Rattus norvegicus: one gene and its partner. The protein of the gene in region 1 interacts with the protein of each later gene in a pairwise test. Links are inferred from orthologs where the notes say so. Each region holds a gene or a part of one and is shown on either strand. Other genes may lie near its edges. The genes, in order: Dtx2 and Rfx6.

Evidence for each region.
Region 2: the proteins of Dtx2 (region 1) and Rfx6 interact in binary tests that used the Homo sapiens proteins (3 or more experiments, as listed by UniProt). The two-hybrid records come from large-scale screens. The link is inferred for Rattus norvegicus from reciprocal best matches to the Homo sapiens genes DTX2 and RFX6.

The regions. Positions count from the first base shown.
Region 1 is NC_086030.1:26,315,379-26,322,046, reverse strand, and holds the start of Dtx2 (probable E3 ubiquitin-protein ligase DTX2), read left to right. Parts: upstream 1-2,539; 5' UTR 2,540-2,683; exon of another isoform or gene 2,684-2,734; intron 2,735-4,055; 5' UTR 4,056-4,211; intron 4,212-6,668. UniProt on the Homo sapiens protein: Regulator of Notch signaling, a signaling pathway involved in cell-cell communications that regulates a broad spectrum of cell-fate determinations.
Region 2 is NC_086038.1:31,609,749-31,615,692, forward strand, and holds part of Rfx6 (DNA-binding protein RFX6), read left to right. Parts: intron 1-958; coding exon 959-1,471; intron 1,472-2,260; coding exon 2,261-2,473; intron 2,474-5,300; coding exon 5,301-5,476; 3' UTR 5,477-5,944. UniProt on the Homo sapiens protein: Transcription factor required to direct islet cell differentiation during endocrine pancreas development. Specifically required for the differentiation of 4 of the 5 islet cell types and for the production of insulin.

The DNA of each region.
Region 1 (6,668 bases):
ACATGTGGTGTTTTCTCTACAACCTTTAGAGATGTTAACTTGTAAGCCAACCAATAATGCCATATAGACCCATCATAAAGAAACATAATTGTGGGGGTTGGGGATTTAGCTCAGTGGTAGAGCACTTGCTAGGAAGCGCAAGGCCCTGGGTTCAGTCCCCAGCTCCGGAAAAAAAAGAACCAAAAAAAAAAAAAAAAAAAAAAGAAACATAATTGTGATTGTCTGTAAGAAGTCCATACTTGGGGTTGGGGATTTAGCTCAGTGGTAGAGCGCTTGCCTAGGAAGCGCAAGGCCCTGGGTTCGGTCCCCAGCTCCGAGAAAAAAAAAAAAAGAACCAAAAAAAGAAGTCAATCCATAGGGCAGAAAGCAATTGCATTCTTACCGAAAAGAATTTAAAGACGGGATGGGGGTGTTTTCTCCATTTTTCTAGGATATTTGGCTGGGAAGTGAATTCAGTTGACTTAAGGCAGATTTAGCAAAAACACAGTTTTAATTATGTGCTAATGCACACAATTCAAAATATGAGGCTAGAGGGGGGCGAAACAAACTGGGTTACATCTCGTCATGAGGTCAAGGCCAGCCTGGCTACATAGGGAACAGTTGTCTCAAAAAAAAAAAAAAAAAAAAAAAAAAAGAACGAAAGAAAGATTGGTTACACTTAAACTCTGGAGATGAATTAAGTATGAACACAAGATCATCAAAATGGCTCGTATCACCGAGTCTCATGCCTCCAGTTCGACCCCTGGACTAGTGGGGGAGGAGAGAACTGAAGGGCACGTTCTCAGTCGTCTATATGCATGCTGTGGCGTGACCTATCCCTGCACACAAAATAAGAATAAAAAACAGGAGTCCTGGGGTTGGGGATTTAGCTCAGCGGTAGAGCGCTTGCCTAGCGAGCGCAAGGCCCTGGGTTCGGTCCCGAGCTCCGAAAAAAAAGAAAAAAACAAACAAACGAACAACAACAACAACAACAAAAAACAGGAGTCCTTATCTGTGAGATGGAAATGAGCAGACAGGAGTTCCTTAGAGGGCTGGGGATATGATTGAGTTAGTACAGAGCTTGCCTGTAGGCAGGAAGCCCTGGGTCCCCACCCCTGTGCACCCATGAAGCTGGGTCCAACGGTCCACACCTGCAATCCCACTGCTCAGAAGGTAGAGACTGGAGGATTAGTAGTAGCAGGTCATCTCTGAAGCCAGGCTGAGGCTATTTGACACCCTGTCTCCCAAACAAACGACCCCCCTAGCCCCACTAGGAGGGACTTCTTATGCAGAGCTTTTGGGGACAGACATGTTTTCCTTGGGGCTGTCATTAAGCTCTTTCTGGCTGTATAGGTTATATGTGGGTCCTGGGTGGCTGCCGTCTGCACCAGGAAATGCCAGGTGCCATCCATTCATCAGAAGTAATGAGCAAAGCAGCTCTGTCTTATCAGACTGTCCCTCTGGAGCGTCAGATGGAGACCAATTAGCAGAGGCAGGAAGCAACACAATTCTGCCTTTCCAAGCAAAACAGTAGCAACTCCCCCAGCCCCCTCCCCCGCCCTCCGCCCGCGCGCTCCACAGTGCCGGCGCTGAGGCCAGGTCTCCTTGACTTCTCTGGCTGTGCTCTCCTTTTTGCTGGGTGAGCTGGGAGCAGATTCTGGGGAATGGAACAGGCTCTGTCACGTGAATTTTAAGGACTTCTTTTGCAAATCCAGGGTCTCCTACCTACTTGCCAGATTAAGTGCTCTACCACTGAGCCATGCCACCATAAGACAAGGCTTAACATTTTTAATAGATTACTTTCTTATTTTTAAATTTAAATGTACGTTTCTTAAGACTGTGCTTGTAGGGGTTGGGGATTTAGCTCAGTGGTAGAGCGCTTGCCTAGCAAGCGCAAGGCCCTGGGTTCGGTCCCCAGCTCCGGAAAAAAAAAAAAAAAAAAAAAAAAAAAAGACTGTGCTTGTAAGCTCAGCAGTTAGGAAACAGAGGCAGGAGATTCAGGAGTTTAAGGCTAGCCTTGGCTACATAGCAAATTCAGAGGGGGTATATGAGATCCTGAACCCCCTCCACCCCCAAAAGGTGAATCTTACAGCTGGGGATTCATTAGTACTAGAACACTTGTCTGAAGTGCTTGCAATAACTTTGGTCGTCTAAAGTGCTTGCATTAACTTTGATCCTCAACACCACAAAAAGAAAAATCAGGGGTTGGCAATATGGCTTAGAGAGTAAAGGCATTTGCTGACAAGCCTGACACCTTGAGTTCGATCCGTGGAACCCACGTGAAGGTGGACGCGGAGAAGGGGCTCCTAAAGTTGTTCCTTGACCTCTATAAGTACACCCACCTCCAGAATATACACACATAATAATAAAAAGAGATATAAAAATTATTAAAAATCAAATGCATCAGTAATTAATGAAGGAGTAAATCAGTAGGAGAAAGAGAAGGAAGGCTGGGTACCTTTACAACAGCTGGTGCGCTTTGGTTCAGCCCACTCAGCTTCACCAGAACTACATTTCCCAGAAGGCACCGCGCGAGGGGGACATGCGCAACGCGGCGCTTGGAGGCTGCGACGCCGAGTTTCACTCCGGCTGCCTCCTGCTCGGAGTCGGAGATATACTCGGGGGTTCTTCCCAGGCCGAGCCGGAGCTGAGCCCGGAGGTCGGCGCTCCTCTCAACCTGTTCCTTCTGCTTCCCTCAGACTCGGTGAGCGGGACGGGCGAGCCACCTGCTGGCGCCCAGGCTAGGGTCCTGAAGGTGGGTGGGTGGGTTGAGGAGAGGGGGCTATTGAGCCAAGCTGAGACCGGAAGGGGGCGGTCGTGCGAGGGAGGGAGGGCCGTGCCGGCGGGTTGGGTGAGTCCTGGGGGCGTTGGGAGCCCTGGGCACCGGGTACCAGGGTCCTGGAGGCGGGAAGTCGCAGTTGGGACGCTCTGAGCGTTGGGGACCGGCTGGGTGTGGTGAGAGCCTTATATTTGCAGAGACGGGGGTCGCATCTCTGGCAGTTTGAGTCCTACAGGACCTGGAAGAGCCGTGAGGCTATTGCTACCCTGGTTCCCTGAGGGGACAGTTTTAGTCATCCAGGCGATAGTGATCCACCACTGGCTGAGAGTTGGACTTTGGGGGCGTTTGCCTTTCCATTCTCGGTCTCTGTCAAACTGGGTCCCCGGGGCACTTTGGGGTGTCTCTGTTTTGAAGCTCCGCTTTTCATCCTTTCCCTCAGACAGCCGCAGGGTTGCCCATATTAGCTTTGCCTCCACAGTGGCGTAAATACGAATGTGTACACAGGCAAGACATTTAAGGAACTCCATACCATCTTGGCCCCTTTAAAGTTCTAGAGAGCCGAGCGATGTGTTGCATGCTTGTAATCCCAGCATTTGGGAGACCAGGGCTTGAGGGTAGTTTAAAGCTTGCCTGTGCTGCATAACAAGATACTATATTACACACACACACCCACACTCCCAAAAAGTGTTAGCCAGGTATGGTGATTTATGCCTGTAATTTCAGTACTTGTGAGGCAGAAGCATGAGACTCAGGAGTTCCAATCTAGCCCTAAGCTATATACTGTGGACCCTGCTCAAAAAAAAAAAAAAAAAAAAAAAACCAAAAAACAAAACATTTAGCACAAGGCCCTGGGTTCGGTCCCCAGCTCCGAAAAAAAGAAAAAGAAAAAAAAAAAAAAAAAACAACCCACCAAAAAAAGAAAAAGTAAGAGTTCTGTGATGTAGACTTCCCTCCCAGTAGCCAAGAAAGTGAGGGTTGACGTCAGCTGCTTGGGTATCTAGTCTCTTTGCTTATTTACAGTGTGACTTTGGTCAAATTTTTACCCTCTCTGGGTTGATTTACTTCATGGACCGCCCGTGGGACTTCCTTCTGAGGTCCTCATATGGGCTTTTCTGGGAAAGGGCTTAGTTGAGGGGACTGAGAAAAACTGTCCCTACTTTGTGCTCCCTGCCCAGGCTGTTGTACAATAAGCCTGGTGGTTTCCAGTCGCCTGCCACAGCACACGGGACCCAACATCTGTGCGCTCGTTTTCTCTTGCCGTTTCTTCATTGAGGACTTAATCATCTTTTTGGCAAAGGTACCTCGGAATTGGTGTGGCTGAGTCAGCAAGCCCTCGGATTTTCCCGGTTCTTGTTTGCTGTTCATATCAAGATGGGAGCCCAGACAAGTTATTGCTTCTGACGATCTCCATCAAGAAGGGACAGTTTGGTGCCAGCCCTTCAGTGAAGAGGAGGTGAGAGCCATGGGGAAATCAACCTTGCTGCTTTTGAAAGCTGGTTTCAAAGGAGGTGGGTGTGGGCATGGAAGGGAGATGGCTCAGTCCATACAGTGCTTGTCTGGCAAGCAGGAGGGTCCAGATTCGCTTTCCAGAACCAACGTAGAAAGCCTGGCATGGTGGTTTGTGCTTGCGCTTTTCTGCTAGGGAGGAGACAGGTGAATCCCTGCGGTGTGCTAGGCAGTCAACCAGCCTAGGTTGATGGCACCTGCAGAACTGTAGCCCAGGCTATCCCCTAGCCTCCAGGAACCCCTAGTGCATCTGTGCACACACGCACATTGCTTTTCTACAGACACATACATAACGAAGCAGGCCGCATGGACGGTGGGATTCTGGGGTTCCAGGAGTGAAGTGAGGCCTGGGAGTTGATTGTTGATTGCCAGCTGTTGCAAATAAATTCATTTGGCTCCTTGCCAGCGCTGCTTCTGTCTAACCAGTCTTAGAGGATACATCCTTCCTTAGACATGCCTTATGGGCTGGAAACAGCTTCGGTAAAGTGCTTAGCCAGCATACAAGACCTGGGTTCAAGCCCCAGCACTTCAAAACGTTTATTTTTTATTATTGTGCGGGCCCTGGTGCACGTGTGGAGGTGACAGGGCAGTTTGCAGGAGTCACGTCTCCCTAGCAGGTAAGTTCTGGAGATCTAAGTCAAGTAATCATAATTGGCAGTAAGTACTTTTACCCGCCAAGCCATCTGACTGGTCCTGCCTTTTTTTTTTTTTTTTTTTTTTTAAAGAAATAACGCTATCCCTACTGCACAAATCTGACCACCTGGCTTCTATCCTTGGCTTCCACGGTGGAAAGAGAGACTGGATTCCCGAAAACCATCCCTTCTACACTCCTCCATTTCAAACACAAGCCCACATTCACACAAAAATAATAAATTAAAAAGAAAATAATGCCTAGCAAGGTGATGGATGCTTGTCATCCCACACTCGGGAGGCTTAGGTAGAACTGAAGGTTTGAGGTAAGCCTGGGGTATGTAGCCAGTTCACCCTTGCATGGTGGTATAAGTTGCAATCCCAGCATTCAATAAACTGAGGCAAGAGGATCATGAGTGTGGGGCCATCCTTGGATACGTAGTGAATTCTAACCCAGCCTGGGCTACTCAGGGAGATATCTCAAAACCAAAAAAAAAAAAAAAACGACCAACAGACCCATGCTTTATGGGCCAGAGAAACAGGTCACTATCACTGCATATGAACCAGAAATGTTCATTTCTCTGTTTGCACAAACCTCTGCTGGGTGCCAGATGAGATCGCTGTCTCTCTGGCAGCTCCTCAGGTGGAAAGACAGATGCACCAGTTAGTGACATGGAGTTTCGATACGTGTAGAGAGAGCTGAGGTGAATTATGAGGTGAGCCCCTCTCCTCCAGGAGGAGGTAGGCAGGGTCAGGATGACTTGTGAAAGTGACTATGGCCAAGGCTCACTGTAAAGTAAGGCCATGCATGGAACTGTAATTGTAGTGTCAGAGGGAGAAAGCGGGAAGGAGTGTCAGCATTTGCATAGTCAGGAAGCTGCTGGCCAGGGCTGGGCCAGGCTGCTGTTAGTGGAGCTGTACCAGCCAGAACTAGAGTGACTGAGGAGTGGAGAGGCTGGGATTGTGGGCACTAGGCAGATGTAGCCGGTTCTGAAGGCCTTGAATTGTCACCCAAAGATGTGCATACACTGGAACCTGGTCTCCAATGTGCTTGTGGTTCTATGCACACTACCCTAGGGGTAGAGAGATGGTACAGTGGTTAAGGACACTTCCTGGTCTTGCAGCTGACCCTAATTCCGTTCCAAGAACCCATGTGAGGCTGCCCACAGCCATCTGTAACTACAGCTCCAGGGAATTCAGTGCCCTCTTCCTGTCTGTGTTGTCACCCTTCTGAGTATGGCCTAAAATATACAATAGCAAATCGATCTGTTTATACATGTGTGTTTGTATATATGTCTGTATGTGTTTTAAAGAGGTCATCAGCTTTGGGGGCTTCACTCGTGAGCAGACTAACGCTGACCTTGTGCTGTGAATTGTCTCCTTAAATGAGTGCTAACTCAGTTGTTTTAGGGCTGGGAATGTAGCTTAGTTGGTAGAGTGCTTGTCTACCTTGCTCAAACCCTAGGTTCCATCCCCCAGCTCTGCATAGGTGCGTTGTTTCACTTCTGTGGCCCTAGCATGCAAAGTCATCCTTAGGTACTTAGGCCAGCTTGGATGGAGTACATGAGACCTTGTCTCAAAGGTAAATAACGTTAAAAAACAAACCAAAGCAAAATGAGTGTCTTTCAGATTTAAAAATTATTACTATTACTATTATTACTACTACTACTATTATTAGTAGTAGTAATAGTAATAGCATTTGTATTATTTGTATTTCTATTTTTGACAGAGGGTTTCTGTGTAGCCCTGGCTGTCCTGGCACTCTGTAGACCAG
Region 2 (5,944 bases), on another chromosome or scaffold:
AGGACCTGGGTTTGATTCCCAGCACTCACATGGAGCCTCCTCCTCCTCCTCCTCCTCCTCCTCCTCCTCCTCCTCCTCCTCCTCCTCCTCCTCCTCCTCCTCCTCCTCCTCCTCCTCCTCCTCCAGCATCAGGCATGCATGGAGTAGCCAGATGTACATGCAGGTAAAACAAACAAAATAACAAGAAAGAAACTTTAGAGAATGGGTTTCGTATTTGACTTTGGCTTCAGTGCAATTTCTCTTCCAGCCACTTTAGAATAATGATGTGGTAATTTTATGCTTTGCAGCAAAATAAATCTCCAGTAGTTTGAACAAGAGGTCAGAGAATATTTCGAATATAGTGTTGGCTACTGGACTGTTACCACAGTCTCATTTTATAGATTAATTTGTTGGGCACACAGAAGGTTAAAACAAAAGCAGACACACAATGCTGCGGCCTGATTATCCCAGTTGAAAGCCATAGGCCCAGGGCGTGGAAGACGCGAGTGAATCCGTGCTCACCAGTGGTGTTTGTGTGCTGTGTTCAGCTGACTGTGAAACGACGGCACTGTGATCGTTTGTTTGTTATGGTACAGTGTCGGCCTCATAGTACATTTCCCTTCCTACTTGTGAGTTATTATTTATTAAAATAGTTTACACAATATATTTTGATCACGTGCTTCCCCCTCTTTATAGCCCCTCTCCTCTCCCAGCTCTTCCCCATCCTCCTCAATGTCCCCCAACCCCTGAGGGAAACTGAAACAACCCCGGCTTTTCCTATTATGAACTCCAGATTACCACTGCTGTGAAATAGCTGTGTTGTAAACTTGTGTGCACATATATTCGCCAGTTATTTATACAAGGGAGGGGTCGCTTAGTTTTAACAAAGGGTGCATTAATAAATCATTCGAATACTTTAAAAGACATGATCCCCTGTCTTACTGTGTTACTCATAGGATGGTCTCACTCTCTTTTCCAGGTCAAATAGAGCTCTCACAAAGTACTGGCCATCTGATGACGCCACCTATTTCTCCAGCCATAGCAAGCAGAGGAAGTGTTATTAACCAAGGGCCAATGGCGGGCAGACCCTCGAGCGTGGGCACAGCTCTCTCAGCTCCAACGCACTGTCCGACGTACGCAGAACCGATTTATCCTACCCTCCCTCCAGCCAACCACGACTTTTACGGGACCAACTCTAACTATCAGACTGTGTTTAGGGCACAGTCTCACCCTGCGTCAAGTCTCTATGCTCACCGTGCAGAGAACGGGCGATGCATGGCTTGGACGGAACAGCAGCTTTCTAGAGACTTCTTCGGGGGCAGCTGTGCTGGGTCTCCGTATAATTCCAGGCCGCCTTCCGGTTATGGGCCATCCCCCGCAACCCAAGAGTCACACAACATGCAGTTTTTGAACACAGGGAGCTTCAATTTCCTCAGTAACGCAGGAACTGGCAGCTGCCAAGGAGCAGCCTTACCTTCTAATTCTCCTAATGGTACGTAACCTCTAAAGTGGGTTTTTGGCTCTTGAGAAGGCAGCAAAGCAAAAATCTGACGTTGAGTGTCACCTGCTGAGCTTCATAATATACAGTAAAAAATGTAAAATATCCCAGAATCTTAGCTGCTGTAGAGCCATACCCCAACACATTCCTTAATTCTTGTGGTTTTATTAAAGGTTTTTTTATACCTGATTTTTAAACAGTCAAACCTTATGCTAGATACATTAAAAAAGAATCTGTCCTTTGAAAAAAATTTTTTTCAATAGAGATTATGTCTTTCAGAGAATTAATAGTATATTTCAAAGATTGGTTCTAAAACCACTATTATTTAATTCTGTAAAAATAAAAGAAAGCAAAAAAAAAGTAACCCTGAAGTTAAGGAGATCGAAAGACATTGGATTTATTAAACTTTTAAAAAGACCTTCTCCTAAGTGTAGTCCTGAATTTTTCCATGAACATGGCTTTGTGGGGAGAAATTCTGTTTGAGAAATATTGCGGTTTAAAGCAGTACTTATACCTTTCTTCATAGATATGCTTTATAAATTTAGTTATAGAAAATATGAAAAACGTATAGTCAGTTTCAAAATGAAGAATATGCCAGTTACCTTTTATCTAAAAACTACTATAGTAAACCATGCTATAAAATAAGGCGTGAGTTCAAGTCTCGAGCTAATAGAAATCATCCTGACTATTTAATATTTTTACCCAGCGATGATGTTTCTTTTTCCTTTCCTGGGGTGATTCAGCAGAGAGCAAATAGAACATTTTCAACTTGTTCCATTCTAGGGTACTATGGAAACAATATAAACTACCCAGAGGCACATAGGCTCGGATCAATGGTGAACCAACACGTTTCGGTCATCAGCAGTGTTCGCTCCCTGCCTCCCTACAGTGACATCCATGATCCACTTAACATTTTAGATGACAGCGGCCGGAAGCAGAGCAACTTGTTTTATGCACACACATCCTCTCCTGTCACATGTCGGACTCCTGTAGTGGGTAAATTGTTTTCCTAGTCTTTGGAAGCATTGTAAGAAGCCATGAGCTTTAGCTATGCAGAATGACCTGGCTAGGGGGTCGGGGGGGGGGTGGGGATGGGGGTGGGGAGATGTTCAGTGAACGAGGCATGCATGGCCCTAAAGTGATTTTATCATCATTTTATGTTTGTTTTTGTGTTTGAGTAAAGAATACATCTCCACTTCTCATTCTTTGAAATGATTAAGTACACACCTTCTTTAAGATCTGCTATTTCTTCCAGAAATAACAACTTATATGTACTATGTATAAAAAGTTTACTACAGCTTGCCAAAGGCATTTGAAATGATAGTGAACTATCTGAGAAGAAAAATGATACATTTTCCTCATTTTTTTTTCACGACCATCATTGGACTCACTAGAAAGTGTCAGGAGTGATCTTTGGACCCCATCATCACCATTAGCACCCCGTACCACTCTGAATGCTTACAGTAGCTAACAGAAATCCTGCAATGGTGGCAGCTAGTATTTTCTCAATTGTAAAGTGGGATTGAATAGCCTTGCAGTAACTGTCGCTACTTTTAATCGTTATATATAGCATGTAATTCAAGTCCACATAAGCATATCAGTGTGCCTGCCAGGAAGTCTCCTAGCTGCTTCTTCCAATCTTAGCCTCATCTATGCAGGGACTGGATGCACTGCCTAGCTGGCTGCACAGAGGAACTTAACAAATCGATGAGGGAGGCACAAGTCCAAATAAATCTAGGGGCTTCAGGTATGACTCTGGCAGCAAAACATTTCCTTGCCTGTCATACGCGAAGCCCAGGGTTTGACTTCTAGCACCAAGCTAATAACCTTAAATCTATACATACATTTAGTCGACGTTAATAAGTTATTTCTGATAGCATAGGTATTGACCCTGAAGCCATGTTTACATTTAGTTTGGAAAACTAATAACGCAGTATCGCCAAGAAAGTTTGTAACCATCACATATCAAAAGAGAGTGTTGATGTTTACATGAGACGCCTGAAACCATTCTTCAGTGGAATTTATTTTTATACTAGTGTCAGTGAAAGGTACGTGATCCCAATAGAAGCACCGAGAAAATGAAATACATTCCATCTCTCATCACTCAGTGTACTTTTCCAATAACTCAATAGGAAGTACTTCTTCCCTTCCTGTGGCCATCACAAACGCACCTGAGCAGTCTAGTAGCTCATCTCCTGCTATCTGCTAATAGCCATTGCTTCTAGGTTACTCTAATGAAGCAGAAAATTCCACTTCAGGAAGTGTCCTCACCATCAGACTAAAATGTACCGTGTTGCTATTGTTACTATTAGTTCTGTTTACTCGTAGAGATAATGGAAACGTTGATGGAACATGGCTTGGAAGTATGGTGGCTTCTAAGCTTTAGCTGTCAGAGCTGGCTAATGAGCAGATTGCAAACTGGGCATCAGAGTGAAAGGGGAAAGAGAACAAGTGAATAATCCCAGTGGGGCCTGGACTCATTCCGTGCTCATTCAGTTAGGAAGCCTGATCCTTCGAGACAGAGAGCTCGTTGGCTTGACAAGAGAAGGCATCAACCATGCAAGAAGGAAGTAGACCCGTTTGAACATGTTAAGGAAGGTTTTTTAAAGCAACTATGTATCAGATTGTGGGTATGAGGATACCGAGGTAATCAAGACAGAGTTTCTTCTTGGAGAAGGTTTATGTTCTCGGAGGGGAAGAGTCATGAACATACAAATGAATACATTACAAAGATAACTTCATTAGAAAGATAACTACCACATGCTTTCTCTCATATGTGAAACATTATATATATGTATATGTATATCTCTCTATATATATATGTAGAGAGATGCATTTATATATGTGTGTGCATGTAGGCCATGAAGGATCATGAGAAAGGAGGAAGAGCTCTTAATAGACATGGAAAATATATAGTAATGGAATACATGTGATGGAACTAACTGGGGAAGGAGGAACAGGCTGGAGAGGGAACTGACTATGGGGAAGTCAGTGGGGGATGGGAACAAATCAGAACAAGTGTAAGGACTATATGTACTGAAGACGCTATAAACCCATTACTTGAAACACTCAACTAAGACAGTTTATTAAAAGATAATTTAAAGTTTTTTTTGAAATATGTAAAGTGGTGATTGGCAAAGTGGGAGCTCTCTGAGGCAGAGGTCGGGAATGGAATCCTGAGGTGGAGACATTTGAATTGAGAGCTGGGGAATCCAGAAACACTGAAAATCAGATGAAGAAGATCTAGACAGAAGAAACAGTCATTACAGAGCCTCTGAATTCAGGGGGAAAATTGAGCAGAAAGAAAAATCAATGGGCCTTGCGAAGCTAAGCATATGAGAGTAAATTTCAAAAGTCAGTTTGTGTAGAATTTTGTGAATCATAGCAAGAAGACTGGATTTTGTTCCTAGAGTATAAGTCATGGTCATCTGACAGAAGAATACAACTGCTTTACAAGTCAGCATCATCTTTCTAGCTCTTCAAAGGGTGAAAGACTGAAGCAAGGGTGAGAGACTGAGGCTGCCATATGGGTCATGGGAGAGATGGTGATCAGAGGTGCGAACACGAGGTAGAAGTAGTGAAGATATCTTTTAGTGGCAGAATGTAATATAATATTTGTCTTTTCTATGAAATATGTAGAAATGATACATAGGAGTACAAGTGGGAAAATCAAAGGAAATATTATTGTTCTGGCGAATCATGCACACTTGCATTGAAAACACCTTATACGTGCTAGATGCCCAAACCATCAAAGGTTCAAAATGAATGGCCTTTGAACAGAATGCATCCATTTGTTTTTAATGGTTTGTGTTTTCCCTTGTAGCTTCCAATTTGCAAACCCAGATTCCTCCCTCTTCATCCCAGTGTATGTATGGAACTTCTGGTCAGTATCCAGTGCAAGATAATCTGGATTCCAATGGAGCAAGTGACAGAGAAATGGTGTCCTCTTTACCTCCCATCAACACTGTGTTTATGGGGACAGCAGCTGGAGGCACTTAAATGAACAATGCAGAATGCAGATGAAACTCAAGGCTCTGCTGCATCGGTGTCATTGTCTACCCCCAGCTGCCATGAGAGAAGAGACAGTGGAAGGTGGAGTGGCTGAATGTTATTTTCAGGTCACTGCTGTGTTGGACAACTCCATAGTGAATGGAAATACTTGTGTTGCACACAATTAGGCAAAAATGTGAAGCCATTATTAATCGTAACTTCAAGGACTATCGAATGAAGCCGATGGAAATTTAAAGATGCAGACACTACAAAGATGTAATATTTCACTTTCTAACTTATTGAAAATTCTCTATTTTCCTTCACCTTTGGTTTCTAAAAGAAGAAAAGTGTATTCAATGCCTTCACAAGATCTTTAATTTATAATCATTGTTTACTATCACCTTTTGACCAAAGTCAAATGTCTAAGTTCTACCTCCTGTGAGAATGTTTACAAGGTCAAGACTTTTTCGTATGTAG